Struthio camelus: one gene and its partner. The protein of the gene in region 2 purifies or fractionates together with the protein of the main gene of each other region. This does not show direct contact. Links are inferred from orthologs where the notes say so. Each region holds a gene or a part of one and is shown on either strand. Other genes may lie near its edges. The genes, in order: CAB39 and STRADB.

The links.
Region 1: the proteins of STRADB (region 2) and CAB39 purify together in Homo sapiens (affinity purification with mass spectrometry; 3 studies listed by BioGRID and IntAct, counting the BioPlex papers as one, with this or other methods). This does not show direct contact. The link is inferred for Struthio camelus from reciprocal best matches to the Homo sapiens genes STRADB and CAB39.

Annotation. Positions count from the first base shown.
Region 1 is NC_090950.1:9,266,350-9,281,657, reverse strand, and holds the start of CAB39 (calcium-binding protein 39), read left to right. Parts: upstream 1-7,639; 5' UTR 7,640-8,101; coding exon 8,102-8,120; intron 8,121-15,308. UniProt on the Homo sapiens protein: Component of a complex that binds and activates STK11/LKB1. In the complex, required to stabilize the interaction between CAB39/MO25 (CAB39/MO25alpha or CAB39L/MO25beta) and STK11/LKB1.
Region 2 is NC_090947.1:10,285,162-10,300,490, forward strand, and holds the start of STRADB (STE20-related kinase adapter protein beta), read right to left. Parts: upstream 6,273-15,329; 5' UTR 6,213-6,272; exon of another isoform or gene 6,141-6,212; intron 5,745-6,140; exon of another isoform or gene 5,685-5,744; intron 5,292-5,684; exon of another isoform or gene 4,794-5,291; 5' UTR 4,701-4,793; exon of another isoform or gene 4,693-4,700; intron 3,464-4,692; 5' UTR 3,419-3,463; coding exon 3,407-3,418; intron 3,088-3,406; coding exon 3,007-3,087; intron 2,677-3,006; coding exon 2,577-2,676; intron 1,921-2,576; coding exon 1,799-1,920; intron 1,351-1,798; coding exon 1,242-1,350; intron 820-1,241; coding exon 696-819; intron 132-695; coding exon 1-131. UniProt on the Homo sapiens protein: Pseudokinase which, in complex with CAB39/MO25 (CAB39/MO25alpha or CAB39L/MO25beta), binds to and activates STK11/LKB1.

The DNA of each region.
Region 1 (15,308 bases), on a different chromosome or scaffold from region 2:
ATTTAAGAGTGATGGAATGAGCTGGTGCTGCAGGCCGTGAGCTCCGTGGTGGCCAGCAGCTGGGCACGTACCCGGCGTCCTCCCTTTGAAGGCGTGCCTGTGCGGTGGGACCCAACATCCTGAGGATGTTACCTGACTCTGAAGGAAGAAATTTTGGCTCCTTGCTATGCTGCCGTTGGGTGCATATCTGCGCTAGGTAAAGTGCCCTCTCCCCTCACAAGCAGATGATAAAGCGATGGAAGAGAGCTCGCTGTTGGCAGGAGCGAGCGCGCGCGAGTCCCTGGCCCGCAGGAGGTGCTGGTGGGCAGGCTGTCAGGCAGGCGGATGGGGCAGCGATGGGCGAGGTTGCTGCTTCTGTTTGATTTTTATTGGGTCTGCTTTCATTAAACTGCTTCTGTTCTCAGAGCATGCGATGATGCAGATATTTGTGAAGTGAGAAGCAAAGTGCGGGTTCTGCCCCAGGAAAGAAGCATTAGCTGCGGGATTGGAGGGCTGGCAGCTTGGAGGCCATGGCTGGGGTAGCTGCTGTTTGGGGCATGGAGAACGAGTTAGCTGTGACGTGCACCTCAGAGCACCTTCTGGACCCTGCGTTCCCTCCCTGGTGGGTAGGCTCCAGTTTTGTGTTGCTGTAAGCAAGCGAACATCAGGCAGAGGCTCTTTATTTAAAGAGGTTGCCAAAATAACTAAAAGGTTTTTAGTCCGGGGAGGGGTTCAGACGTTTAGTTCTGGTTCAAAGCTGAGGTTTAAAAATGAGGGTTAAATCCCTTTATTAAAAGGTTTAAACCTGTCGGTTTTCCAATGGCTGTAAATCACAAGCAGTCCGTACTGAAGTCCGGTGTCGCCCGAGGGGTGGTTTACCTTCAAAGTGTTGCAGTGGAAGAAGGATGTGAAGGAGAGCGGTAGATGCCAGTGAGGTGACTGGACCTGCCGGCTCGGGAGGGGTACAGTCAGTGTCTGGGCAGGTAGGATGACTCCCAGGGCAGAGGTATGTAAACTGGTGCTGCTTGGTGATTACTCACTGCCAGATCGTCCCAGAGGGGAACAGGGTTACGTTTCCTGATTGACCTCCGTTCAGTAAGTTGTATCCACAGTATCACCTCTCAAATTGGTGCGGCAGGGTCCTCCCAAGGATCATGCGTCCCGCACCCTGGCCACGCTGGGGTAACTGGGCAGATTGGGATAATTTCTCTGTGCTTGAGGTGTGCAGGAGAGCATCTGCAGCCATTTCATTTTGTAATGACAGCCACCTGAGAGCACAGCCCAGGGGCAGGAGGCACCAGCCAAGACTGGGCAAAGGAGTGCTGGGCAGGGGATCTGGCAGCACCATCGGAGTCACCTTGGGCAAGTCCCTGAATGAGGTCAACGGTTGTCGCTGCTGGTTTTGTGGACTGAGCCCTTTGGGTGGGACTGGGCTGGAGAGGGTAATCTGCCTGAAGGAGACAAACAGGAGAAGGCCTGCGAGGGGAAGGCGATCTGAGGTGCCTGGAGGCCTGCACCTCCGCAGACCAGCAGCTGGGCGCTGCGAGGAGGATGTGGGGAAGCGCACTGGAAGCCCTGCCGGCGGTGGCTTGCACGGCTGGCGGGCTGCCGCCTACCTGTGCCGTGCCAAGCGTGGCAGGCGTTTTGTGGCTTCAGTGGCAGGCAGCTTTCCCAAAGCAGAGGGAAAGGTTCCTGCTCTCGCGAGAGTTTCGGGGCAGAGGCCGGGGCGCTATGTGCAGACCTGAGGCCTGCTCTCCATCTCCTGCGGCTGCCAAAGTGAGCTGGCAAATACTGCCCATTGCTTAAGCGCGCTTCTGAGCACCCAGCGGCTGAGCCGGGCCCCTGAGCCAGCCCAGGCCCCCAGCATGGCCCCGAACGCCGCAGGGTGGACGGAGCAGGGCCGGTCCTGCCCGCTGAGGCGTCAGAGCCCCCGTGACGTGCGTGCTGGGGGCAGCAGAGAGGCTCGCTGCCTGCAGACGATGGCTTGCTGGGGAGAGGCCGGTGGCGGGGGCACCCCTCCGTGCGCCGGCCTTGTGGGGGGACGTGGCGTTGATGCACGTGACTGGATAGCAGAGACGGGCCTCGTTTAGGGAAGCGGAGGGGAGCCACAGCAGGTGAACTGGGGTGCCAGCCCTGCCAGGAGCTTCTCTGTGAGGTGCTGTGCCAGCAGACTTGTCTCTGCTGGGAAGCCCCACAGGGCGCCCTGCCTTCACCATGCAGTCAAGTGCCGTCTTTGCTTCAAGAGAGGCTTTACGTCCCCTGAAGATAGACTTAAAAGTCCGTTGTAAACAAAATAGTGTGACAGAGCAGGTCAGACCACGAGGGGTTAACGGTGTCTGCTGGCTCGTGCCTTGCGGGTGCCTGGCTAGTTATCGGCATGTTCATGTGCCTGCATGTTTACTCCAAAAAATGTTCCTCCACAAGACTCCACCTCCTCCTACGGTCCTGGGCTGACTTGGAGCTGACCTAGACAGATGTGGGGTGACACCATGTGTACCAGGTCACCGATTTTGGCACATGGGTGGGAGGTGAGAAGGTTTTGTGAAGGTAAGTGGCTAGGAGAGAGTTGTGTGGAGAGAAAGAGGAGGAAGGAATCCAGGAGCTGAATGCTGCCCCCTCTGTTATCACAAAACCACTACCTTGCCTTTCCTTAGCTGTCCTTCCTTCTGTGCAGTCATATTTTTGGCTGGGGGGAAAGAATTTGGATGAGCTCATGTCTGCCTCCAACAGACCTGGGACAGACTGAACAGCAGACCACGTGCTATGGTGCTGTTGAGACTGAAGGAAAGACAACTGGGAAATAGGCTATGAAAAGAAGGGCTCCCAGGCAGATTGCCCTGCTTGGTATCCTCGTTGTCTTTCTGGCCTCTGTTTTGGAAGTGACCTTGCTTACACGTTCTCCTAAGCCTTGTTGTCACATCCAATGAAGACTGAGAGTTCATGTCCTCACAACCATCTTTGCTGTCCATGCTCGAGGGGTCGCATCTCAGAGCAATGTCTTGCCCAGTTTCCATGGTATAGATAGGGGCAGGAGCACAGCTGGAAGCTCAGCTACTCAAATGACATTTGCATATGGAGAAAGAGGACATCCGTGGCATAGGATGATGCTACATGTAGCACTTTGATCACAAGTGGTATTGGACATCTCCTGGAAATGCCATTCCCTGGAGGTAATGGACTAATGACATCTCTGAATCCAGCTCCTTTCCAAAGGAGTACTCCAAAACGTGCTAGTGCTTGCTTTAGTTCCTCAGCATGAGTTGGTTGTAGCAGCTTCATGAGTGGGCTCTTGGTATAGGAAATAATTATCAGTACGGTACTAGCTGAGTAGTTTTCAACTTTTCTTTCACCTGCACCCCTCTAGCCTTTGTGTTAAGGATCCGCTGATGTTCCTGCCATTGCTCAACGTGTCACCTGTCTAGCCAGTTAGCAGTTAGCTCCTGGGCCCTGGAGGAAGTCTTATCTACTTCTCAGCCAGAAAGCTGCTGGTTGCAACATGGGATCTCAGGCCAAGAGTGAGCTATAGGAAGAAAAAAATCTGATAAGCTGTGTGGGTGGTGACATGCTGGCAAAGCTTTAACTTCTTGTCTGTGCTGGAGCGATGGTGAAGGAGGAAGTGAGCAAAGCTTGATGAAGAAAAAAAGCGAGCTTTTGAGGGAGTGCTCTGAGCAGTTCCTGAGCTTTCCTCGATGGGCGTCCCAGGATTTGTTTCTTTCAAGAGGGCAGCTCTGGGCTTTGTCACACTCTGTGTGTGTGTAATGTTACCAGGTGTCACCTGATAACATGCCTCATCTATAATGCAGCAAATAGTTTATTCAGTAAGCTTCGCTTTCACAGCAACTTCTGCATCTGTGCCTGCCTCCCCAAACCCTGGTGAAACGGGAGAACAGCACCCCATATGCAGCCTTTGCACATCCCGTACCGCCTGTTCCTTCTTGGCTTCTCCATTGCTCAGAAGGAGCTGGGGTAAGTTTCACCTTTGTGAGACAAATATCTCTTCAGTGACTATGAGTAAACTCAGCTTTCATCCTGACTCGGCCACGTGCCAACAGCAGCTTTCTTTTTATAGTACGTGTGTATACATGTGCTGACGCCACGTCCTGACCCCTTGACACAAAATATGTTGTCAGCATGAATGAAGCAACGAGGCTGGTCATCGTTAATTCTTTGCAGGAAGAGGAACTTGCAACGTTCGTGCCAATGCATTGTCCCCGGCCTTGTGCAGGCAGGCTTCTCTCGCAGGGTGCAAAAAGATGGCCAGGAAGGCAATGTGCTTATAAACAGTGATTCTAATATGCTACTTGTTTTTGGTTCTGCAGAGGCTGAAATTGCAGCATCCGGAAGAAGTGATGAAACACTTGGTTCATTTTTTAACACACTTGTCACTTCGCTCTTGGTGCAGCTCAGCTGGCTTCTGGGGACAGCAGAGTACACAGGCGATTAGGATGGGAGGGCACGAGCCGCAGGATCTTCGGACTTTGCAAGCCACATCCAGCCTGGATTGTGCATAAAATCACATCCTGCTCTTTAAAGTAATTTCTCTATCTCTCTTTTTTTTAAAATATCTATTAAAGCAAAAAGCAAGGACAATTCTTATACCGTTGTTTTATAAACATTGTATTTTAGAAACACTGTTTGGTTTTAGCCTTATCTCTCCCGTCTTTAATTTCTTTAATTTTTTTTTTTCTTTTCCAAATATTATCTAGGAGACTGTCTTTTTATAGGGATGAGGATTTCTTATCACTCTGGGGAAACCCGAGGGTCTCGGGCACCCTGCCAGCTCTTGTGACACTAGATGGAAGAAGACAGACCCTCCTGGGGTGAGGAAGCAGGGAGAAGACAGAGCTGTTGGGCTGCTGCGGAAAGCTGTGTGATGCTTCAAGAGCCAGTCTGTGAAGGGGGAAAACAGAGCTTGCACCACTTTCAGCCTCTCCATCATGAGGCATGTAAAAATGAGGTGGTTTTTGGAAAAAAAAAAACAAACAAACCCATCGTCACAATTTTACTTTCTTGTTTATTTTTACTGTTAGGTGTTCTGCCCTTGGTTTGTTCCTTTAAGAAACAAGAGAAACATGGGAACTATCCAAGCGGCTGATTGGAAGGGTGTTTTTTGTGTTTTGAAGGTGGTGGTCTGTTTCTGTGTCTTCCCTTTCCCTGGTTTGTGTGGGTGGCTGTACACACATACAGGGAACTACTCTCTCACACACCTGCCTATTTAAGATTTTTTTCAGAGATATAAATTTAGCCTTAGATCTGAGTTAGCCACCTACGTACATGAGCTCCTTCTCAGAGGTACCCAGCTGAATCACGCTGAGCTGGGGGAACAGGGGGCTCAGCACTTCCCAAAATCAGGGCTGCCCACTCAAGCGCCTGAACGTGAAGGTGGGAAAAGGTAGGAACGCAGCGCGCCTCCCTCCTTTGGCAGGCAGCGTTTGCTCGGGAGAGGAGGAGGAGGAGGAAGAGCGCAGAGAAGCTTGCGAGAGGCTCGTGGAAGTTGTCCACGCGCGTTTGCTGGAGGGCCACAGCACAGATCTCGGCTTCCAGCTGAAGTGCAGCAGCTTCCCTGTCAGCTCAGCCCCAAAGCAGACCAAATCCCGCAGAGCAGCAAACCCCACAGCCCTAATCTCGTGCCAGTCATGGTAGCAGGTTTTTTTGCTGGGAGAGCTAATTAATTAGTTTCTGCAAGTCCTTTGAAGGTGTAAAGCGCTAAGGAAGTGCTTACAGCATTACCCCAGAGGGTGTGGGCTTCAGAGCTTAATGGGAGCTATTTAAATATGAACCTTAGTAAACTCCACTCATATCTCCTCTAAAATGGAGCGAGGGAGTGAAAAGAACAAAGAAAACGAGCAAGGAGAAGGTTAATACCGTCTCTGCCTTCAAACGTTCAGCCTGAAGGGGCAGGGAAGGAAAAGGTGGAGGTTGGTACAGTTTCACTGGCTGCTGCGGGTCAGGTCCCCGGGCTCTCGCTCGGTGCCCGCGGCCGCCGCTGCCACGGCGTGAGCGGAGCCAACCTGGCAAGGGCACCCGACATGCTCCTGCTCCCGCTCCGCAGGGGCCGCGGCGAAGGCGGCGTTCGCTCGGAGTCCTTCGGGGAGCAAAGTCCAACGCTGTTTTTCCAAATCAGGCCTTCGTCACAGCGAGCCGAGAGGAGGACCCAGCGGTGAATCGCAGCCCGAGGGCGGCGGGGACCTGAAGGCCAGGATGGGGATGGGGACCTGGACCCGAAGGCCAGGCGTCTGTGGGGATGGAGACCTGGATCCTGCTGGGATGCGCTCGCTGCAGCTGGAGATGCTCCCAGCTCATCTGTCCTCTCCACGTGTTGATTCATCCTTTGGGTTTTCCCTCCCCCCCCTTTTCATTCTCCGTTCCTACTCGGGCAACGTGAAAGCAGATGACAGCACACGTATTTCTAGTGCTGGTAAAACATTGCTTCTTTGCTCGGCTTGGCTTTCTGAATGAGCTTTTCTACATCAGCACGGCTGACAAAAAGGGTCGGTTTGGTGGCACTGACCTTGAGGAAGAGTCACTAAAACAAGTCAGCGTCCCGAGGTCTTAACTCTTTGCTTCCTGTGCTCTGACATAAACCTGCGCAGGAATTGTCTTCGTCTTTTATCTATTTAAAATAGAAAATTATTAAAAGTGGGAGAACATAAGTGCTGAGAGAAAAATAAAAGTTGGAAAAGCAGGTCTGCCTTAAAGAGCAGGAGGTAAAGTTTCACCGGGGCGGCTCAGGGGTGGATTTCGTTGACCTGGGTGAGCGGCTCGGGGGGTTACGGCCCTTCGGGCGCGCTGAATCCCCGAGGGGAGCGAGTGCTCCTCCAGTGAAACGCTGGGCGCAGCGGGGAGGGCAGCGGGTCGCTGTGCCCCCCTCGCCGCGTCGGTGGCCAGCGGAGGGGCCCGCGGGCCTGACCTGGCCAGCGTAGCGCCCTTCAGGCATTGCAGCCCACACGCGTCTTATTAAAAGTAGGAAAACTGAAGCTGGAACCCGTTTCTTTCCTGCAGAGTTTCAGATGCACCGATGTATTTGCTTGCAGTTTTGTCGAGTTAGTCATCTATTTGACTATGGGTTTTTTTTGGTCTTTTGTTACCCAGGAAATGCATTCTTCCAGGGCGCTGTTTTTCAGAGAGGGTTGCGTTATTTCCTTTTTATCAAGTTTACCAAGCTGATGGAAATCTTTTTTTGGTTTTAGCGTAGTAGATTCTCACTGGAAAGGATGCTGCATTTGTATAGATAATTCTCAATTGTGCCACAGAAATAAAGAGTGTATTAAAGTTACGTGGTTCTGTAGAATGACACATTCATCTTGTTGCTGTCCAGGAAATGAGTCTACAACAGATTTTTTTCCTCTGATTATTTTGCTCGCTGTTTTACTGACAATCTTTACATGCTACTTTTAATTCTTGTGGTTTGCAATAATATTTTTTCAATGTGCTTTAATTCGGGAACGACAGCTTGAGCCGAGGATAAATCATAGCATCCCTGAGAGAAAAATTTTCCTGATACGGGTGACCACTAGATTCACTTGGGCTGTTCTACTGCGGATAAGTTTTGGCGGGGGTCAGTCTGTTCACCGTGTATTAGTCGAATGAACGGAAAGTCAACAAAATGCTCACCGACGGGTGTGTCTTTGAGAAAAGTTTCTAGAGGTTGGACTGAACGTGCAAAGCCTAGCAGAGGTGCAGCACGGTTTCGGGCAAAGTCACAAGCACTTGCGAAACCTGGGTGACTAAATTTAGCCACTTCAGCCTGGCTTGGTCAGAAGCCCACGGAAAGGCTCAGGACTCTTGCTCTTCCAAACGTTCAGTAGAAGGTATTTAGCACAGCCGGAGCGGTTCCTAGCGCTAGTATTTTCTCCCTCTCCTTTCCTGAAGCGCTTGTCAGGGAGCACTAGCCTGGGTTTTGGTCTCTGAATCATATCAAGGCATGCCCGCGGCCAAGCCTTCTTGAACTGAAGCAGAGCGCTGGGGGTTGGTTTGCCTTATTCATCCTTTGTATGTTTGTCGAGGCGAGCTGGAAGGAAGACCTAGTTTATTGTTTTAAATGGTCTGTGGCGTTAGCTCAGCTGACTGTTGAGATGGCCGCGTAGTCAGGCAGCGGGGACACCTCTGCGCTGTCGCGTGGATGATTGTGGCACGCTACGGTAAGCGTCTTACTTCTGTCCCTGTGCTTCTTTCCTACCTTCCTGCTCCGGTCTGGGCTCCTCGGTGCGAGCTGGGCTGGTATCGGTGAGTGCTTGCTTACAGCAGCGCCAGTAAACCTCTGCGTGCCGCTTTCTGGGGGGTGACGTTTACCTTTGCTGGGGCGTTTCCACGCTCTAAGCAATAACTTGCAGAGCGTGTGGCAGGCTGCAAGGGCTGAAGCAGTGGGGACTGTGACGGGAGGCCTCCGCCTCCTTCTCCAAATAGGTCCGAGACTCTTGCTTTTTGTCTTTAATCAGAGACAGGCGAAGGAGGTTGGATGCCGTTACATCATTGTGCTAAAATGCATGTGACTAGCATGTCAGCTCCGCTCCATATTTGGTGGGAGGGAAATAGAAACAACTGCGTGACTGGTGGTGCGCGGCCCTGCAGGAAACCCCAGCGCGATGGGCGCTGGTCGTGGCCCTGGCACCCGCTCTTCCTTTTTCTTTTTTTTTTTCCCCCCTCTAATAGAGAAAAGTAAATTAAGCTTTAGCTTCTGCCTTATAGGTTGCCTCAGGCCACTTTTGCTGGCTGCGTTACTGTAAGATCGTGTTTTAGAGGCAACCGTACTGATCTCTTAAAGAAACCGACCCTAGCTGAATAGCATCCTGCAAGCATGATGCTCTTCCAAGGACGTGTCGGCCCAATCGGCATTTTGGCTGCGTCCTACCAGCCGGTGGTGCTTTCTGCAGGGTACGTGCCTTCGTTTGCTGGTAGCAGCGGCGAGCCTTGAGGAAGGCTGGCCCCGAGGAGATCACTGGGGCTGTGTGGGGTCAGTCACCCCAGGAGGAGCTCAGGGGCTCTGCTTAAGGCACAGTCAGAGGAAGAAATGAGGTCAGCAAAGCAGAGGTGCTGGAAAGAGAATTAATTTGCACCATTTCACAAGATGGAGTAATTTTTTCCCCCACTTCCACTGTTTTTTGGTGCAGGGTCATGGCCAGACGAGCTGGAGCTGAGTAGCAGGGCTCTCGGACCTTGGACCTGCAGCAAAAAGCCTTAAGATCACGTTCAGCCGTCTGCTCCTGCTGAGCAGAGCATCTACGTACTTGCCTTTGTAACTGCTTTTTTTTCCAGCAAAGTTTCTTAGATTTTTTTTTAATCATGTTTATTCATGTCCTAATTTGTAAGAATTAAGTAATTCACGGTGGATGTCTCAGTCGTGGCTGTGAATTAGTGAACTGCTATTGTGCTAGGCGGTCTCTCACACGTTGAATTTAATATCTGCTTCGTAGAGCCTAGAAAAATTATGCTCGCTCTGCTGATGGATTTCCCCGAAGTATACTACATGCTCGTGGTGATTATGCAGAACAGGTTACTTGCATGGTTTCTTTTCCAGTGGTCATTTGTAAAGCAGTAGTGTCTGTTTTCCAGGCTCTGGTGTTGCATCACTGTACTAGTGCTTGCCTCTAATGACTTGCTCTGTTCAGCACCCTGAATATTATCTGTTTAAACTTGAATGCTTTTAACATAATTACAGGGTAACAATTTGAACTCAGACATGCTCAGCCTTTTGATGTTGGCTTTGAAAACAATGATTTCCAGCTCGTAAGTGGGATATACAAACTGCCAGCATTACCTGGCCGCGTGCTGTGGGCCCAGACAAGCTTGGCAGATGGTACCCAACGGCTGTGCCACCCTGCACGGGCAGCGCGTCCCCCCTCCTGCTGCACGTTCAGAACCGCAGGGTCCATCTGAGATGAACCAGCACCATAAGTAGATTTTTTTTTTCGGCCCCACCTTCCCATTTCATTTCCCTGCCTATCCCATCTGCGCTTGCTTGCCTCTGATGTCCTGGTCACGAGGTGTTGAGCAGCTGCAGGACACATGGGAGTAACCCCACAGTGCAAGGCTGGACCCTGACTTTGCAACGCAGGAGAGCATCCCCGCTACAACGGCGCTTCGGCAGAGGCCCCAACTATTCAGCTGAACACAAAGCTCCTATGCACTTAAATGCTATTGCAGGTAGGGATGGTTTCAAGTGTGGTCAGAAGCATTTTTCTGAAAGTGAGCTGTAACATGCGGCTCACGGGGCAGGCTGGTTCACGAGGGCGGTGAAACACACTCAGGAGGTCTGTTTGCCAGGTGTTTCATAGGTCTCGGAATATCTGTCCGCATCAGAGACAGCACCAGCAACTTCATTTTGTCTTAGTCAGCCTGTTTACCCAGAAACACCACGGTTGCTGCTCAGAGAGGGGGGAACAACTGTATCATCAGGTTTTCCCCCTTCAGCCCACATGAGTATTCTGCTTTTTCTTTGTTTAATGACAGGCTTATGTTGTGAAGAAGGTTTATGGTTTCCCTTGTCACTAGTACTAAAGCCCAGGGCTGAACCTGGAGGAGAGAGCTGGGAGCTGCAAGCAGTGCTGTTGAAGGGCCCGGGAAGGGGGTGAGGAGCCAGGCTGTGAAACGCTGGAGGTTGTGGTCAGGCAGCTAAAAGCTACAGGTAGCCCAGAATGGGCAGCAGGTAGAGCTGCAAATGCAACCCGTGGGCGCTGGGGTATGCTGACCAGGCTCTGCCGAGCTGCCAGGCTTTGCCGAGCTCCCGGGAGCCGTGTGGTGAGAGAGCCAGCGAGCGTATTTGTTGTTTGGGTATGGAGAGTGTATTTTTGCTTACCTTCGTGGGTTTTTTTTTTTTTTGATAAACTTTCTAATTAGGGGAAGGGCAGGTCTGCCAGGTATCTGGGAAGAGCAGTGTGTGGAGGATGACTCTCCGGTCCTCAAGGGGAGTGTACAGGTCCAGCAGCATGTGGAAATCCCATTGCACTCGTTCAGGTGGTGCTAGGGGAATTCCCTGCCCAGTCATCTCACGGTGACTAGAGTAAATCCTTCCTCCATAGACGAGAGTTGTCAATGGACCAAACCCTCCCGTTTCCACCTCTTTCACGAAGAGCTTTCCAGTTGTCCTGCTCCAGCTGGACGAGGAGCAAAATCAGCCTCCAAACCTGCCTTCCTCCAGCTGGGCTCTGCCACTGCAGGGTGCCCAGCGCGGAGCGGGGAACCATGTGAAGTGGGGGAAAAAGAAAATGAAACGTCCCGTTTCTTCATAGCCGCTTCAGCCCGTACGCGTCTGACGGGGCCCTCCTCCGCGCGGCCCCGTGGGCGAGCGCGAGCTTTCCACCTGGCAGGCTCAGCGCGAGCCTTTCCGTGCACGCTCAGCGACGGGCGGAGGAAGAGGACTGGCGCCTCCAGCTCAGCCACCACCTGAGGCACGTGTAGGACACCAAGAGGCAGCACTGCCTTCCCAACACGGCTTTCTTCCTTTATGGCAGAAAAGGCAAACCGCAACAGGAGAAATCCAGAACAGGAGCATCCTGCTATCGAGAAAATAAGGGCACTAAGACCCACAGCAGAAAAATTTCCCCCGGTGTGACAAGCAAAGTAGAGGGAAGTAATGTGGAGATATGTAACACGGCAGAGGTAATTAAAAAGAAACCAAAGATAGAAACTGTCAGCTGAAGATGTGCAGTGCAGCAGAGCGTGAGGAGCTTAAGGACTTTTCTAAAAACCAGGCCAGTAAGTCCCAAATTGCTGTGCAGCACGAATATATCAGACACGCAGGTGCAAGTTTTCCTCTCAGAACAAAGCTTGTAAGAAATTAATGACTTGTTCCATAAAAATATATCCTTCTTTAAAATCATGTTGTGTATTATACTGTATTATTGGACAGCAGCAACTTGACACATATATATATATATGTATATGTTTGGGTATATATATTTTTTCAACTCAGGCTAATCTGCATTTGGCACAGTGAGGATAATATATTGCTGTTACCTGCCGGGGCACAGAAGTAGCCTGAACCTGTTCCACATCATGAGCAGAACTAGCAGAAAACCTCAGGACTGTAATTCATCAGCAGTCCAATGAAAGGAGTCGTCTAAAGTCCAAGCGCAATATACAATACTGCATCAGGACCCAAAGTCTGAATACAGCCGAAGCCCAAGGCTAGAGACACAGAAAAAAGTTTTCTGGCAGGGTCAAGGATATAAACTCCCTTCAGCAGAATTAAGTTAAAGAAGATAGTGACCAAGACATAGTTGGACAGAGGTATTCCAGCCCAGGGGAGCGATACTGCAGAAGTTCTCCCAAAACAGTGCCCAAGGGCTGCCCTGGTTGTGCTCCCCAGAGCCGTGGGGGCCGGGCCGTGCAGAGGTCTCTGGAAGGCGTGCGGGTCCTGGGGCTGCGTGGTGCTAAGAGGCAGCCCGTGCGATCCCGCTCTCTCCTTTGCAGAGCTCCTTTGCTCCTCAGTGGACCGCCTCCACCACTGGAGCACCTCCACCATGGCCCCTGCTGTGGGAGCACCTCCACTGTGGTCTCCAGCATGGGAGCACCTCCACCATGGCCCCTGCTGTGGGAGCACCTCCACTGTGGTCTCCAGCATGGGAGCACCTCCACCATGGCCCCTGCTGTGGGAGCACCTCCACTGTGGTCTCCACCACTGGAGCACCTCCACCATGGCCCCCGCTGTGGGAGCACCTCCACTGTGGTCTCCACCACTGGAGCACCTCCACCATGGCCCCCGCTGTGGGAGCACCTCCACTGTGGTCTCCACCACTGGAGCACCTCCACCATGGCCCCCGCTGTGGGAGCACCTCCACTGTGGTCTCCACCACTGGAGCACCTCCACCATGGCCCCTGCTGTGGGAGCACCTCCACTGTGGTCTCCACCACTGGAGCACCTCCACCATGGCCCCCGCTGTGGGAGCACCTCCACTGTGGTCTCCACCACTGGAGCACCTCCACCATGGCCCCCGCTGTGGGAGCACCTCCACTGTGGTCTCCACCATGGGAGCACCACCACAGCAGCAGGGCAGTGCTGGAGCAAGGCAGGTGGGCGTGGTGCCAGCCCAAGTTACAGCTGCAGGCAGGATCCCTCACCCTGGACAGGCTTGCCTGCACGTCTCCCTCCTTTCCCACGTGGAGCGGATAGCAACTTTGGGTCACAGCATGCTAAAAATAAATAGCTTGTTTTCCAGGCAAGCTGTGTGTTTGTCCCCTTGAAAACCGCCCCAGCTAAGCTGGAGATGGTAGGCTCAGGTTCTCTGGCCAGATGTGGGCGTGAGCGTGTTTCCCTCTCTTTAAGCACCCAGCACCGGCAGCGCTGCTGGAACATGGGCCGTTGCCTTCACAGCGGGGCCACTTTCCTAATTTAGTCACCTCCGTCGGCTGAGAGAGGAACGCAATGGCTAATGCTGCGTTTTATGATTTAGCAGAGCAAATGAGAAACAGGCTAGGATCAGGGGGATGCGTTCGAAGAGCAGCGGCAGCCCACGCGTGCACTTCTGCGAAGGTTGCATGAGTTAGGCGATTATTGCTTTCTGCTGAAAAGCCATGTTATTTCTGATAAGGTGAGGAGATATCTCTGTCTGGTTTCCTGGTGTGCTAGGGCACCGGAGTAGAAGTCTCTCTGTCCTCCTCGCACTCTTCTCCCTCTGCAAGCCTGACTAACCAGCTAGCCAGGTTACTACCTGGGTTACTACGTATTTCACCCAGTGGTTTGCAGTTTGGCATTTTGAAGTTTTAACCTACTGTTTCCAGACTTCTTCATACCTGAGCCCCTTCCCCCAAACAAGACCAAGAGCGCTTTTCAGCCTTTCTGGGGGCTGTTAGGGCCTCCGCGTCTTAGCGTTTGCACTGTCTGCGGGAAAGAAGGTGCCCTCTGGGCAACGGGGTGGTGTTATTTGTTGTGTGGGTCAGCAAGCTAGGGAGTGGTGATACGGAGGTGTGAATCACGCTTTCCCTTCAGATTCGCTGTTTGATCATGCGGTGCCTAGTAGCCCAGGGAGTACTTGTTGCTTTGGATGACGCAACATCAAGAAATTAATGGATTTTTTTTTCCCCTGCGTGAAAAGGGGAGGAATTAGCCCTGCTTCTCTCTCTGGCTGCTGAAGGCTTGCGATACACAGAGTATTCGTTTGCCAAGCTGCAGATACGGGGGATTCTTGGGGCTTTTGCCTCCCTAGATAAAAGCGGTGTTTTTGATGCGGGCCACCGGCAGCCTTCCTGGGCGAGGGGGAAGGCGTCGCGCAGCTGTCCAACGGATTTTGCAGGCTTATCGGAGGGCTGGCGCCTGTGCAACACGTTAATTATGGTGTGAAACAGGTTTTTTTTTCTTCTAGCGCTTCCATAAGGAGTCCGCGGTCCCCTGGGGGGCAGGTTGGGGTAACGTGTGGCCCCTCCAGGTCCTGCTTCTGTGCTGTCTGGCTGCAGCCCCTTACTGCGCTGAGCTTGTCTTCTGCGGCATCCTGCCGGGGGGTGGGACGGCACTCCCTGGGGGCCGCCTCGGGGGTCCTTGGGGACCTGCTTCAGGGCCCCCTTGGGGGCCGCCTCAGGGGTCCTTGGAGATGTGCTTCAGGGACCTTGGGGGCCCCCTGGGGGTCCCTCGGGGACCACCTCAGGGGCTGCCTTGGGGGCGTGCTTCAGGGTCCCTTAGGGACAACCTTAGTGTCCCTTGGGGACCACCTCAGAGGCTTCCTTGAGGCCACCTCAGGGGCGTCCTGGGGATGTGCTTCAGGGCCCCCTTGGGGGCTGCCTCAGGGGTCCTTGGGGACGTGCTTCCTGGACCCCTTGGGGGCCCCCTGGGGTCCCTCGGGGACCAGCTCAGGGCCCCCTTGGGGGCTGCCTCAGGGGTCCTTGGGGACGTGCTTCCTGGACCCCTTGGGGGCCCCCTGGGGGTCTTTCGGGGACCAGCTCAGGGCCCCCTTGGGGGCCCCCTGGGGTCCCTCGGGGACCAGCTCAGGGGCTCCTTGGGGACCTCAGAGATCCCCGAGGGGCCGCCTCAGGGGCTCCCTGGGGACAACCTCGGCGCCCCTTGGGGCGGCCTCAGCGCCGCGCCGGGCCGCGGCGGGGCGGGGCGGGGCGGGGGGAGGGGAGAGTCCGCGCCCTGCGCGGGCGGGGGCGGGGCCGGGGGCGGGGCCGGGGGCGGGGCCGAGGCGGCGGCGGCGGGGGGAGGGGAGGGGAGGGGCCGGAGGGCGGGCGCTGGGTCCGCCGGGCCGCCGGGGGGCGCGGCGGGGCGGGAGCGCGGCGGAAGCGTGGCCGTGCCGCGCTGCGCTGCGCCGCCGCTGCTGCCGCCGGCTGTTGGCCGCGCTCCGCCGGCGGGCGAGGGGCAGGGCCGCTGCGCAGCAGCAGCAGCAGCAGCAGCAGTAGCA
Region 2 (15,329 bases):
TACTAAATTGGGGGAAATCATATACCACCTTTGACTTTTGTCCATTGTTAACTAAGCTGTAGAGGTTGCTTAAGCCCGAGAGAGAAACCAGACCATCCCCTGAAATCAGAATGTGGCTAGCTTTAATATTCCTGTAACACAAAGTGGTAAATTTTAGTTATACAAATTACTCAAAACAGTACTAGCTTTCATATTTCATTAATTCATAAAATACTGAGATGTTAAAGTACAGTTCTGTTTAGCAGTTTATTATCACACACTCAGTATGAGTTGTCTTTTTAATACAACCTCAAGTGAGGGCAGAAATGATTGCCAAGAAAAACTGATTGCCAGAAACTGGAGAAGGGCTTTCCTTCTCTGCAAAGGGTGAAAAGCAAGCAAGCCCTCTCTACAACTGTTTTCTCTTCAGCTTCAGAAAGACAGAACCAGACAGATGTACACACTGATTTAAATAAGAGGACTGGTGTTATAAACAGGTTTAAATAATGTTTGGATACCGTTCTTGTTAAGGTTCTACAAACTAAATTCTGCTCTGTTATTTAAAAAAAAAAATGCTTCTGCACTATCTGACATAAAAAGGTATACAGAAGAAGGAAAGGAGGCAACACTTAAGAAAAGCTGAAAATGGGTTTTGAAGGGAAACTGAGCTCTCAGCTGTAATCTGGTTCTCACCTATGTCACTGATTTTCTCCTACCTGTGAATGTAGCCATTTTGGTGCATGTAATTTAATCCTCTGATTGCGCCAAACAGAATGTTGCCTATCAAAGCTTCACTCATTCCTTCAGGGAAGTAAGTTTTCAGCAGGTGTCTAGCAGAACCTGAAAGAGAAGAGAAGATAACCTAGCTAAGCAAACAAGTATTCATTGCATTCACAAAGAGCAGTATTCTCACTTCTGTATTGACTATGGTACATGAAGAACGCTTATATGGAAGCAGCTTGCACCAGGCAAAGATCACACTCAAGTCAGGTTTCTGTTAATTGAACCTGTACTCAATCCAGACAGGTTTTCTGTTGACAAAATTCAAAAGTGCATCAAGTCAAATGCATTCCCCAGCTAACGTTCCTCAGATAGTGGATGTCAGGACTTGAAGTGCAAGCTAATGCAGTTTGAATGCCAAACGTCACTGGGGAGGAAGAACATGTATGGAAGACTTCTTTAGTTTGGGACAAAAGATGCTTAAAAGAAAAATCTCTTATGGCCCTTTCTCTTATTTGAAAATGGCACTTAACAGTTCTTACCATATGCCATGAACGGAGAGATGACCCAAAGCCAATTACCAGCTGTAAACACTGTCCAAAGTGTCATTATGTTGGGATGCTGGAAAAAGTGGGATAAAATCACCTCGTTCTAAGGAATTAAATAAAAGTGGTTATGTTAACCAGAAGACAACTGTTGCTAAGAACATTAATTACATCAGTTAGTAGAAAGAATTGTTCCCTGTGTGCATTTATGCTAATGTTGCAGCTGATGTGCACAGCGTGCAAAAAAATAGGCAAATACCCTGCCTATGATTGCATTTGTCTGAAATAAATGTAGTTTGAGGTTGTGATGTAAATGCAGAATACAGAACGTATTTCAAGGAAAACACTTGGTACAATTACAGAAGTCTTTTTAAAACACTTGTTAACTGTTTTATTCGGAAAGTAGTTCTGTTTCATATTTACCGTGCTTTGTACTCTTTTAAAGGAAAAACTTAAATGACCTATTTCATATAGGAGGGCTACCTCTGTTTAGTAACCTTATATATATTCATTGGGGCCTTCATCAGACTAGTGCAGCAGTGCTGTTGCTTTACCTGCAAAGCTTTCAAATGCTCTTCAGAGCAACTTTCTAGGTCTGTGATCCTTACAGCAACTTGCATCCCTGTAGGTGTATGCCGTGCAAGGTAGACTGAAGTTAAGTTGTTGAATCTCCTTCCTGAAACCAGAAGTGGCTACCTTGGTTAACATTGGCAAAAATATAATAATGCACCCATAACTTGCTTCATATTTAGAGATCATTTTAAAATTCTGATATAGCAGCATGTCTTTTTCTTTAGGCATGTCAATAACTTAAGTAGTTGCAGCAAAATACATGCATCAAATTAGTTAAAACATGGCTCTTTCTATTTTTAGAGCAACTAAAAGCATTTAAACGTTTTTTCAGCATCAATTACATATCTTCCACATGTAAATGAACAATGCTTCTAGCACGCACATTCACATAAACAGATATAGGCACAGTAAGATTGAGGGCAGCTATTTTAGGACAATCATCTTAGGCAGCCAAGTGACAAGACAGTGTTACCTAATGTGTTATCTACTGCCCGTATAACCACAAGCGTAGAGAACTGAGCTGTGCACACATATGCTCACATCAAGAGAAAAATTCAGATAACTGATTTTATATTTTTAAAATAAGTGATAACTGGAAAAAAGCACAGAACCTCTCTCATCCTTAACTAAAGAGACCCAAGAATGGTTCTATTCGGCCGATAGGTTTGCCAGCCTTACTAAGTATTCACTGAAGTAAGCAATGCCCCAAGAGAACACATCTGCAAGAACAAGTAGTATTTTATGGTACAATTAGCTTACCTATTTCCACCTGGAGTTCATAGTGAGAGACATTGGAAGAGCAAAACATCATTTCATTCTCTCCTGTAGCTGGGGGAATCCAGGCTAGATCAGAATCAGCCTACAAGTGAGGAAAAAACAGTTCTCAAAATTACTATGTACACTTGCACGTTTAACAGAGAAACAGCATTAATGAAAATGCAAAGATCGAGTACTGAAGTCACAACACTCAAGCTGATGCTTTTACCACTATCCTGAGATTTAGTTACATGAGCTATTTTAGTTAGTTATTACCTGTAGTCTTCTTCCAAAGTGGAAGCCCCAAAAAGGACTCTGGTTATTTTTCTAAGTTAATATTTGAAAAAGTACCTGACTTAGTGAGATTATTGTTGGTATGTAGTAATTTTAATATGTATAACTTTGCCAGTTAACATTTTTATTTTCTTCTTACCAGATATTCATGGATGCTGCTCTGAGATTGCTTTTCTGGTCTGATTGATTCAACTCGTGTACGTAGAATACAGGAACAGTCCTTGAAAACAGAAACAAGTGAATGTTAGTAGACTTGCTATAACTTATTAAATGTGATCATGTGAGAACATCAGAAATAACGCCCTTATGAGCAGTAGTTCAGAAAGTCAGGCAAGAGGTAAGACCTAGAGAGAAGAGAAACTAAATATCCTCCATAAGCAAAAGCTGGTATTACAAAGTTTAAGTATCTCATCACTGTGGAAATCCTTCAAGTGAAGTGTTTCAACTGTACAGCAAGACATTTCACTAGAACTTTTTCACATTGAGTTATAACTGGATAACAAGGTGCAACTATCGATGCTTTTTAAAAATAAACTTACCAAACACGACATGGAACCTCTTTAGAGCAGGGGAAAAGTCATATACATCCATTTATCCTAGAAAAATGTAAAGTATCACTGTAAGATTTTACATCAACCTGTGGCCCAGCACTGAGAAATCCTGAGCATAAATGTCTGTCTCTTTTTAATCAAAATTGTGAGGTGTTCCTCTCAGTTATCAAAATACCTCTTCTTACTAAAATTTATATCACATACAAAAAAATTCCAAAAATTCCAAAGAATTTCTACAAAACCGGGGAGGCCTACTTAGTTGTACTGAGTCTTTAGGCAGCACATGGATTTCAAATGCCACACTGAGAATATGCAATGTACATTCCAACTACTGTTTTCCTTTTTGTTTAATGGGTTTGGATATCTTCTAAACTTTCCTGAACAAGCAATTGAATTGCAAGTCAACTGCATAAGTGCACAAAATAAAAGGAAACAGATTCATGGATCACTGGCAGTTTATAGAAAAGAAAAATCAGCTATTGCTTTGAAGGAGCACAGCTGTACTAGTCAGATTTCAGCTCAGCTGTTGCAGCCGAACTAGCTCATGAAAAAAGCAAGCCAGAAGCAACTGCACTGTGTATGTCACAAGCAAGAGAAGAAAGTACTACCATGAAGAACAGGAGTTAAAAAGGAGAGGAACCAACTCGGATCGCTTTCTCATTACTTAGGTTACAGAATCGGCATTCAGCCCAAACTCCCTCGCACATCAGCCTAGCCACTCAAAGTCTTCCAGCAGACTTGTTTTCTATCTAACGCTTTGAAAATTTAGGAGATGAGGAGAGAGGAAGATGACAATGTCTAACAAGCGTATCAAAGCTTCTGAAGGGCAGAGTGGGATTAGCTAATTTCCTTTAGCTACTCACTGATCTGCAAGTGTGCATCTTCTCTGCCATGAATAATCCTTCTTGGTGGCTGACAAAGCTACAGGAGGTAGTTCCATTTTAATATGTAGTTATTGTTTGAAAGTTAATTTTAAAAAGGTGAAGTACTATACGAGTAACTGATGATTTTGATTATCAAGGCACTAAACTTGACTACATGCACCATTCAAATTACGGATGCCATTTAATCCTGGCAACGCTCTTGAAAAATCTAACAAGCTCCCACCACCCGTCTATTGCTAAAATACCTTAACGGGCATCTCCTAATCCTCTTTACCCTCAACAGCTACTTGAAGTAAGGAAATGCTGTAACTGTGTCTTATAGATGAAAAGAGAGCTAAAAAGATCCGTAGGTGATATTTTGCTGCCTAACTTCTTCAAAAGATCTGGGCTTGACTTACCCACTTTCACAAAGGAAGTGGCAGAGCTGGAGACACCGCCGATGTTCCAAGACATGGTCCAGCACAGTCACTGCTAGAGCATCCTCCTCCAAGCTGGAAAGAAAATGGCTTATTCTATTATACGAGGTAAGTTACTCTGTTGCTTGGAATATGAAACCACAAAAGCTAAGCTGATTCAAGTCCTAGTAACTAGGATACACTGAAGCGAAGTTATTGGCGAACTAGTTAAAAGCTATAAAAGGGTATAGCTAGCCAACATAGCTGTCCATGATCCACGTTTGTTCACATAACACTAGTAAGACTTAAGACTTTTTTTTGTTTCATAATCTAACTTTGCCTCCATTTTCTTGTATGGTTTGGATCACATCACTACATAAACCTGTTCCACCTTTCCACGTTTTTCTTTTTTGTATCACAGCCTTCCTGTATACTGCAGATTGCGATAGCAGCATACAGCTGATCGGACACATTCATCCCAACATGCCCAAAGCTTCAGAGTCGGTGGGCGATGTGGGAAGGAAGTTCATCGATCAACAGACAAACGTGTCTGTGAACCTCAGGGACGGCCGAAGCTCCACAGCCAAAGCCCAGGTACCCTGACTGCGCCTTAATCTAGTTTTGTTAACCCTGGGCTGTAGCTCACTGAGTTACTTTCGCGTTTTGAGTGACTGAAACGGTTCTTTATGACAGACCTCGAGTTTTAAATGACTGCGCCTGCGGCAGAAGTACGGTATACGGAAAGGCAGCGCCCCGGGAGCCCCTCAGGGGACAGCTTCCCGCTCGCTCCCTTCGCTCGTACACGGCTGCCCCCCCTCCCCCGGCCCCGGGCTGCCCGACGGCCTGGCGCCGCTGCCCCGAGCTCGGCGTGCCTGCGTGCAGCGGCGGCGCCGCTCCTCCCGCCCTCCCCGACCCGCCCGGCCCGGCTGCCCCCGCCGCGGCCGGGCAGCCCCGCGGGAAGGCGGCGCCGGCGGCCGCCGCTCCTACCCGCCGCCCGAGGCCAGGGGCCGGCGCCGCGCAGCCGAGCCGCGAGCCCCGCCTCGCTCCTGGCCCCGGCCCCGGCGCGTCACGGGGCTTGTAGTTCGTGGCGGCGGCGGTGCCGCCCCGCCGCGCGGCCTGCCGGGAGCTGTAGTCCCGCCGCGGCGGGAACCGGGCGGAAGTCAGTGGGCCTTTCCTCGGCGGCCGCGGTATTGCACGCGGCGGCGGCGGGGAGCGCCGGGGCAAGGGCAAGCGCGGGGCGGGTAAGAGGGGCTCGGCGCCCGTTCGGGGCGGCCCCGTCGCTACGGCGAGTCCCCTCCTCGCCGCCCGGTTGCGCAAGCCCCGGCAGGCCCGCGTTGCCCCTAGCCGTTAGGGGCGTTGCCTGGACCGCCGCGCCGGCCTCGGGGGCCCCGAGCACCTGGGTGGCCCCCGCGCGCCCGCTGTGCCCGGCGTGGCTGCCGGGGCGCCGCGGGCTTGCGCGGTTCGCTAGACTCGTGCTGCAAATATCGGTTACTGCTGCATGACGGATGTCACGACCTTCAGCGTGCTGTCGAGCTCCTCCATGCGCTAGGGGTACCGCTAATCGGACTGCTCTGCTTGGAGGTTGGTGTCTTTGCTCTTATAAAGCAAAGCTCGATGAAATCTGAGCTGTGGTTCTGCTCGCTCGAGGATGTGAGGGCAGGAGATTTAGGCCTCATTAACCTTTCGATTACAATTGCATTTTAATCTTCTGGTTAAACTTTAGTAAGAGTATCTGTCAGTAAACGTTTTTTTCCTGTCAACCGTACTAGTGACAAAGTGCTTCACAAAGTTGCATTCCTGGCCTCCCTCCTCCCCCCTTTTTAAACAATCTTCAACTATAGACTGTTGAATACATGCTTTTTGGTTACGCCTCAAAATTATTGTTGACTGACTGTGACAGTATGATACAAATATTTAATGTGCTAGTAAATAATATGGTTGTGTTATGTGAAAAGCGTCTGAAAGTTAACCTAAAATTGACTATGTTGCTTTGCAGTCTTTTCTTGAGACCAAGAGGTGCATTTCTGAGCAGAAATAGGCAGACATCTCAGGAGTCCTTTGTGCAATGGTAACCAGTCACTAGAGGCACCACTAGCTAATTGTCTTATGGTTGCTTAAGCATGTTAGCTAACAACATTATATAGAAAGTATTGAAGTTAATCTTTTATTATCTTGTACTTTTTTTTTTTAAGCTAAGTTAGTGCAAAATATATTGTTGAAGGAGTTAATTTGTAGTTCACGTGTATGCCAGCCAAGCTGTGGTGAGGTTTGAACAAAATTAACAGAGTAAATGTTGACATCCTTAGATGAAAGGGACCAATCCTTTCCTTTCTTATTTCATACTCAGGTTCCACCGCAAGTTGTAGCATACCTAGAGTTGGGTTTATTGCGATGGAGAAAGGAGGAATGAAAAAAGTAGAACACATCTGTGGAAACCCAGGCCTCATTAGTTCCACTGCCTAAAGGACAACCTGTTTGTTTTTTTTCCATCCCTTCCAATTACCATCCACACCTAATATTGCCCAGTTAGATGTGCAGACTGTGAAGGTACAGATACTGGTACAGCAAACATCAACTCACCTGTTTGAAAGAGAACTCTTTTGGAGGAATCGGGAATCAGGAGGAGAAGGGAAATACACCAGCTAATAAGTAACGCTTGTCAGGTAGACTAAATATACTTTAAATTCTGGTCTGTTTTCTCAGTTTTCTACGTTGCTTTAAGGAGTACAGCGTGTATCAGAATTTTTTGATGGTGGTTTGCTCTTACTATAACAGAGGCTTGTTGGGGTGAGTATTGCATAGCAGAAAGGCTGTCTTTGCAGGAAGAACAGACCAGTGATTCATTGAGAAGTTTTACAGGAAGATGCAAAATAGCATTTTCACAGAGATGGTTACAAAGAGATGACAGATGCTTTTATCTAGTTAGATTAATGGCAGCACTCTTGTGACTGGGTCATATAGATCAGTCTGGTTTATTTTAGTGAATACATAATTGTAACTATTAAAATGCTTGGGAAACAAAACAATGAACTTCAGCTATTGAACTGAATTTTTCAAACAATTAAAAAAAGAGAGTCCATTTGTGGAATTGAAGCTTTATAGCTTTAAAAATAACATGAAATATTTAAGTCATAAGACAGCAGTTCCTGTCTGTGCACTGTAGTAGCACTCTTCTGTTCTGCTGTTGGTGACAGAGCTTAGGATACCAGTCCTTGGCGTTACTTATTGTTCCATGGTTAAAAAAGGAGCATGAGACTGTGAAAGCGGGAATGAGGAGAAAAGAAGTTTTAGGGCCATCTTTTTTTTACAGCAAAGTAAGGAAAAACATACAAGTGCTATTGTCTTTTATTTCGTCGCTAATGTCTGTTTTTTCTGTTAATGCTCCAACATGAGACTGAAAGCTTTACTCCCTTCTTTATAAAGGGAAGCTAGCATGGGTTTTACAGCTAACTTTAAAACTGATGTTTTGATATAGAATTCATGTATGCTGACTAAATTGATCCCCTGTATTATCAGTTTTGTGTGGTTATATGATAAAGATTATGAAATAAGCAGAGAAGCTCCTTTCATTCAAAATTTAAAATATTTAATAAAATAAAATTCTAATAAGAAAATGTTTAGTTACCGCTCTTACATGGCAAAGTAGTAGCAGAACCAGAGGCTACTCTGTATCTGTCAAAGAAGTTCTTTTAAGAATAAAATTCCCAGAAGGGCAGGTGGTACTATAAAAAAATAGCATAATGCTTAAAGTTTCTGTCCTTTAATTGCTAGCCAGAAAATGACAAGGTACGATGGAGCTATTTTTATATGATATACAAATACTTCTGCTTTTGAGAGATTTTTTTCTCCTTTTTTTTTAAACAGCCTCCCCCCCCCCCCAATACTAGTCTTTGCTCAAATACAAGTTTAACTAATTCTGACACTAAACTATACTGAAAAGGAAGTGTTTTCTTCAATATCTCTGATGCTAGTAGCTCTTTTGAGTGTCCACTTGACAAATTAGAACTTTAATTGAAGAAAACCTAGGAAAAAATACATAAATCAATTAAAGTAGGTTAATGTAAAACTTTTTTATTTTTCAGTAGCTCAGTGTTGTGCTTTGCACTCTATTAATACGTAAGATATCGAATAAACATTTCTAATCCAATTTTGCTTTTTAGGCAGCCTTGTCTGCTTGTACAGACAACGTAAAAAGTTAGGATCAATTTATAAATGCATTTTCAATCCTTCAGCAGTTATTTCTCTAATTAACAACTTAGCTTATTAAAACTGAAAACCTGTATGGAAAAAAAAAACATATCTTAGTTATGTTTGGGTGTTTTGCCTTTCATTTAGTTTCCATACTCAAAATAATTTAAAATGTATTTTTATATTCTGTTTTTAATCACTTGATTTTTATTCCTAAGTTTCTGAGAGTCAAATGGAGCTAGTGTAAATTCAGTGTTTCAATGCAAGCAAGCATGTTTAAAATTGAATATTTTAATTTTTTTCATTTGATGGTACAAGTAGTGGACCTAAATTATGTGACAGTTTTCCGTAATCACTGTCTGCTTTTTCCAAAAGGTGTTTAATTTTTATATACGTATGTATTTTGTGTCATGTGCTTCCAGAGGGAAGACTGTCGATCCTAAATTAGGAGTAAAATAATACCTGAGAAAGTCTATGGCTTTTGCTTTGGCTATGTCTTTTTGCGTGATATAACAGCTTTATTTGAATTCCTGAAATATATGTTCCTGTGTTTATCAGGATCATGTATTTTACAGCCATGTTGTAAATCTTGTGGGTTTTAGCTAGATGTAACTTGCAGAAGGAAGCTGCACTGAGGGAGTAGTTTTATAGTTGCAGTGCTGCAGAGTGAAAGGAATATGGAGTCACCTTCAGGGTGGTACTGCACAGTGTGTTATCTGATTATCTGATTTTCAGAAATGCTGCCCTAGGGCACAGTGGAATAAAGCTATGAGAAGTATTGGAAATGTGCAAACACCATAAAAGCTAATGCTGACATCTAGCAAGTTTCTCAAGGACTCGGCTAATGAGTTCGCCCTTTCAGTTCAATAGCTTGATATTGGCCTGGCGCTCTAGAATGCTTCCAGCCAAATGATGGAGGGTTTTGTTTGTTTGTCCCTCCCACACTGAACTGCTGTTGACCCACAACAAATAGTAGTTCTGCTTTCAGCTATTTAGAAGAGATATTAAATCAAATCTGAAAGGAAGTGACGTTTGCATTTTAATAAATTAAAAATAAAGGGAAAAGACTCAAGAGTTTTTGTGAAGAAACTCTCTCCTGCACAGCTGAATTTTTCTCACTTTACAGTGACTACCTTTTTATTATTGAATTAAAACCATCCTGGCTGTGTGGATCTACAGAAATTAAAAGTATCCTTCTCACATAATAGTAAATTTCTAGTCATGTAAAATAGCTGTAGCACTTACCATAGTGTTTTTTTTTTTTAATTGATGCTATTTGGTTCCTGTATAGACTATTGAGGTTTTTTTTTTTTTTTTAAGAATTACAGAGGAAATATTTTTTCAGATGATTAAACTAATTGCATAAAATAAAATAGTGACTTTGAAATAATATCAGCCAGCGTCATGTAGTTGTAAGTGAAAAAAACTTTCTAGGAAATAGTTTTTGTGAAATGTATTGTTCTATTATCTCACATTTCTCCATGACACTTAAATCTTTGAAATGCAGGGAAGAGTAGTTGTAAATACACAATATAAATACATGCAAATATGAGAGTGTGACTAGAAAATGCTGCAGTAAGACTGCATGCTTTAAATGACTTGTAGTTTGCTTATTTTCAGATGTGTGCAACTATGAATTCTGTTAATGTTTCATCACCATGTACCTACATCGTGCTTTTAGCATATGGATTGCTAATTCTGTTTTATTTCACAAAAAACCACTTGCGCTGCTATTTGAGCTGTGTCTTGTGCATATAGGTATTAACTTAACTGTGTACAGCAGAAACTGGAGATGAAAATGACCCAGTTGTTTTTCCACTTTATGTCATACAGGATCAGTTGTGAAGAAACCTCACTGAATACTTCTCTCTGCTATGAAAGCACTTTTTTTCCCCTTGTTTCTTACTGTTTAAAAACCTTTCCACTTATCCGGTGAGAAAGTCTCTGTTGAGGAGTCTGTTGGGAAAGCCCCACTGAAAGATTTTTAGAAATATAAGTCTGCTATATTAGTGGATAAAACTTCCTGATCTTTAATTTTAGACCTCTTCTGAAAATGTGTAATTGTGAATCTGCTATAAGTTTTGTATGCATGCAATAAATTTAGTCAAGGAAGTTCTCTTAAATTTAATACAGCTCGTAGCAAAATTTACAAATAAATTCCTGGGACTTCTCCCTGCCTTGCTAGAGAGCTGGAAAGTTGCCAGACTAAGAAAAAAATTTCGCCTTGCATTGGATGGCATCTTTGAAATTGGACAAGGATTTGAGTTTTGTGAGAAAACAAAGGAAAAAGTCACTTGTTAGTTACAAATTCCTTCAGTTGCATGTCTCTAGAATACTTATCAGACCTGACTTGTAGAGAATGTTTATTAAGAAATGCAGTCTTTTCGTCCAGAGAGCGCTCATTCAATTTACGGGCTGAAGTTATTAATCAAGAACGGCAATGCAAGTTCTTGGCTCTGAAAGTTTTTCTCAAAAGCTCACTGCTTTGCCGCTCATGTGGCACAGCTATTGCCGCCGGTAAGTGGCACAGCCCAGTGCATTTACTTTATGAGACCTAGAGGCCGCAACTTTCAGTGTTAGGCTTTCATGAGTTTTCCGTGAAAAAGGAATGTAGGATTCAGTTGTTTGTTGGAGAACTGTAGTTCTTGTAATACATGAAGAGTTTTGCTTAGAAATAGAAACGATTTCATCGGTCCCGAGGTGATTATTTTCTGGGATGCCATCCAGCTGTTTGTGGTGCTTTTAATACTTTGTGTAACTGCACTCTATACGTTACACGTGTTCTGTGTGATGTAGGCAAAAAAACAGGCATGAGGCTGCTGACATATCCCATCTTTTAGGCAGGATTGCCCTTGTGAACAGATCTGTTACCAGCTTCAGGCTCTAGCTGTAGTCCCAAGCGCTATGATACTAAATTGCCTTGTAACTATCTAATCTTTTCTCCTTTAAAGCGATTTGAATTTGCTTACTTGGCAGCATTTGACTATGACCAAGGATAGAGATCGTAACCATAGTTCATCCAACAGTGGAACAGTCTCTGGATCAAAGCTTAAATAACCAAAGAAAATTGTAATTTTGGCATTTTATGCATGTTTAATAAGGCCATTTGCAAGCTTCTTCCTGTTGCTATTATTTGTTACCTACTTAACTGTATATTACATGCTTGAGTGTTTTTTTTTTCCTTTTATTAATTTTGAATATCATATTAAAGTCCCTCAAAAGGACTTGCAAGGTAGGGGATATAACTTCAGCATGTTTGTTGGAAAACAGAGAAGAAAAATACTGTGTCTTGTGAGGAAGTTTTTCTTGTATCAAGCCTGGCTTACATCCTAAACACAGTAAGAACAACTCTGAGGCTTTTACTTTTTAAAGCACTTATTTAACTCAGAAATAAAGATTGACGAATATGGAGACCTGAAGCACTTTCTAAGAACATGGCTGGCTGTCATCAATGATTCCTTCTTATAACACCAATGACAATTTAGCAAAGAAGCGCACATTCCAACAAGCTTATACGCTGTTTCTTCCCCAGTTCTTTGGACAGAATAAGAATGGAAAAGACCTGACAAACTAGAATAACTAATCTTTTATATGTCAACACTTTAGCATGCTAAAAACGTCACTGAAGTTAAGTTATTAGTGCTTCTTGAAAAATATAGAGCTAATGTGGATTCTAGCGATGGTCTATATTTAAAATGATGGTCAAAAAGTTATTCAAAAAGCAAGCTTACTGAAAGTTGCCCTCAGAAAATCTAGTAACTGCAAGGAAAAAAATCAAACTGTTCCGACAGCTTGTTAATTAATCATGAATCCTGTGAGCTTTTTGCAATGATTAGTGATTGGGCTAGAATTTCTCCTGCCCAAGAGAATGTTGATGAGGGGAGGTGCTCTGCTTTATTTCATTCTTACAGACAAGGAAGAACTGGTTGGGAACGTGAAGATCAGGGACAGCCTTGGCTGCAGCCACCATGAGATAGAAGAGTTCAGGATCCTGAATGGAGGGAACAAGACAAATAGCAGAATCACAACACTTGACTGCAGTAGAGCAGGCTTTTGGCCTATTCAGGGATCTGCCTGAAGGAATCCTATGGGATAGGGCCCTGAAGAGAAGAAAGGTCCTGGAGAGCTGGTTGATTTTCAAGGTTCATCTCCTCCCTGCTCATCTGGCTGGACCATTCTTGAGCTTGAAGTCAAGTGAGAGTGACAGGAGGCTTCCATGGGTGAAAAAGGGGCTCATGACAAAACTAAACATAAAAAGGACGCATACGAGAAGTGGAAGCAGAGACAGATGACGCCGGAGGATTACAGAGACACTGTCCACACATGCAGGGATAGAGTTAAGAAAGCCAAAGCCCACCTGGAATTGAATCCGGTGAGGGATGTGAACAGTAAGGGCTTCTACAGGCACATCAACAGCAAGAGTCAGACTAGGGAAAATGTGAGCCTGCTGCTGAATGAGGCAGGGGACCTGGTGACAAAGGATGTGGAAAAGGTACTTAATGCCTTCTTTACCTTGATCTTCACTGGTAAGTGAAGATTGCCTTCAGCAATCCTAGGTCCCTGAGACCTGCAGGAAGGTCTGGAGCAATGAAGGCTTACCCTCAGTGGAGGAGGATCAGGTTAGGGAACACTTAAAACGGACACACCCAAGTCCGTGGGATCTGATGGGATGCACTCATGAGTGCTGAGGGAGCTGGCCAGTGTCATTTGCAAGGCCACTCTTGATAGTCTTTGAAAGGTCGTGGTGACCGGGGAAGGTTCATGAGAACTGAAGAAAAGCAAATGTCACTCCTGTCTTCACGAAGGATAAGAAAGAGGATTTGGGGAACTACAGGCCAGTCAGCCTCAACTTGATACTTGGAAAAGATAAAGGAGCAAATAATTCTTGAAACCGTTTCTAAACATGTAAAGGACAAGAAAGTGACTGGAAGTAGTCAGCACAGATTTATGAAGAGAAAAATCACGCTTCGCAAGCCTTCTATCCTTCTATGATGAGACTACTGGCTCAGTGGATGAAGGGAGAGCAGTAGATGTTGTTTATCTCAGCTTTAGTGAGGCTTTCAACACTGTGACTCAACATGCTCATAGAAAAAACAGTAAAATATGGGCTAGATAAATGAACAGGGAAGTGGATTGAAAACTGGCTAAATTACCAGACTTGAAGGGTTGTGATCAGCAGCACAAAGTCAAGCCAGAGGTCTCACTAGTGGTGTGCCCCGGGGTTCGATACTGGGTCCAGTACTGCTTAACATTTCATTAATGACCTGGATGGTGGGACAGAGCGCACACTTAGCAAGTCTGGAGATGATATAAAACTAGAGAGAGCGTTTGATAACACCAGATGGTTGTGTTGGCTTTCAGAGGGAGCTAGAGAAATGGGCTGACAGGGACTTCATGAAGGTCAACAAAGGAAAATGCAGAGTCCTGCCCTGGAGGAGAAATAACCCTCTGCACCAGTACAGGCTGGGGGCTGACTGGCTGGAGAGCAGCTTTGCAGTAAAGGCCCTGGGGCACTGGTGGACACCAAGTTGAACACGGGCCAGCAATGCACCCTTGCATTAAGGAAGGCCAGCAGGCTCCTGGGCTGTATTAGGCAGAACCTTGCCAGCAGGTTGAGGGAGGTGATCCTTCCCTTCTACTCAAGCACTGGTGAGATATATCTGGAGTGCTGTGTCCAGTGCTGGGCTCCCCAGTACAAGACAGTCATGGACGTACTGGAGCTAGTCCAGCAAAGGGCCATAGGGCTGATCAAGAAGCTGGAGCACCTAACATATGAGGAGCGGCTGAGAGAACTGGGATGGTTTAGTCTGGAGAAGAGAAAGCTCAGGGGGATTTTATCCATGTATATAAACATCTGATAGGTGGGTAAAAAGAAAATGGAGCCAGACACTTTGTTGTGACTGATGACAGGACAAGAGACAATGAGCACAAACTGAAATGTAAGAAATGCTGTTTAAATGTGATTTCTTTTACTGTGAAGATGGTCAAACGCTGGAACAGGTTGCCCAGAGAGCCTGTAGAGGCTCCATGCCTTTGAGATTTTTCAGAACCCAACTGAACACAGCTCTCAGCAACCTGTTGTAGCTGACCCTGCTTTGAAGTAGAGATTTGAACTAGATGGTTTCCGGAGGTTCCTTCCAACCTCAGCTACTGTGTGATTCTGTCTGCTCTTGGAGCAACCATGCTGCTTGCACAGATGAGAACTAATTTTATGGATTTGAGAACGCTTCTGTTTATGGACTGAAGTTACTTGGGAGGGATTCTTAGAAGCCCTGGCTTAACGCTAGGATTGTAATTTAAGGCCTAAGTGTAGTGCACGTTGCGTAATCCATGTGTATTTAGTTGCTTCAGGCTAACTGGTGATCGGAAACCTCTCAAGCTTTTTGAACTTGTGTGCGTGTTTCTGAATTAACGCCTCGGGTTTCTTTATGGTACAGGGAGAAA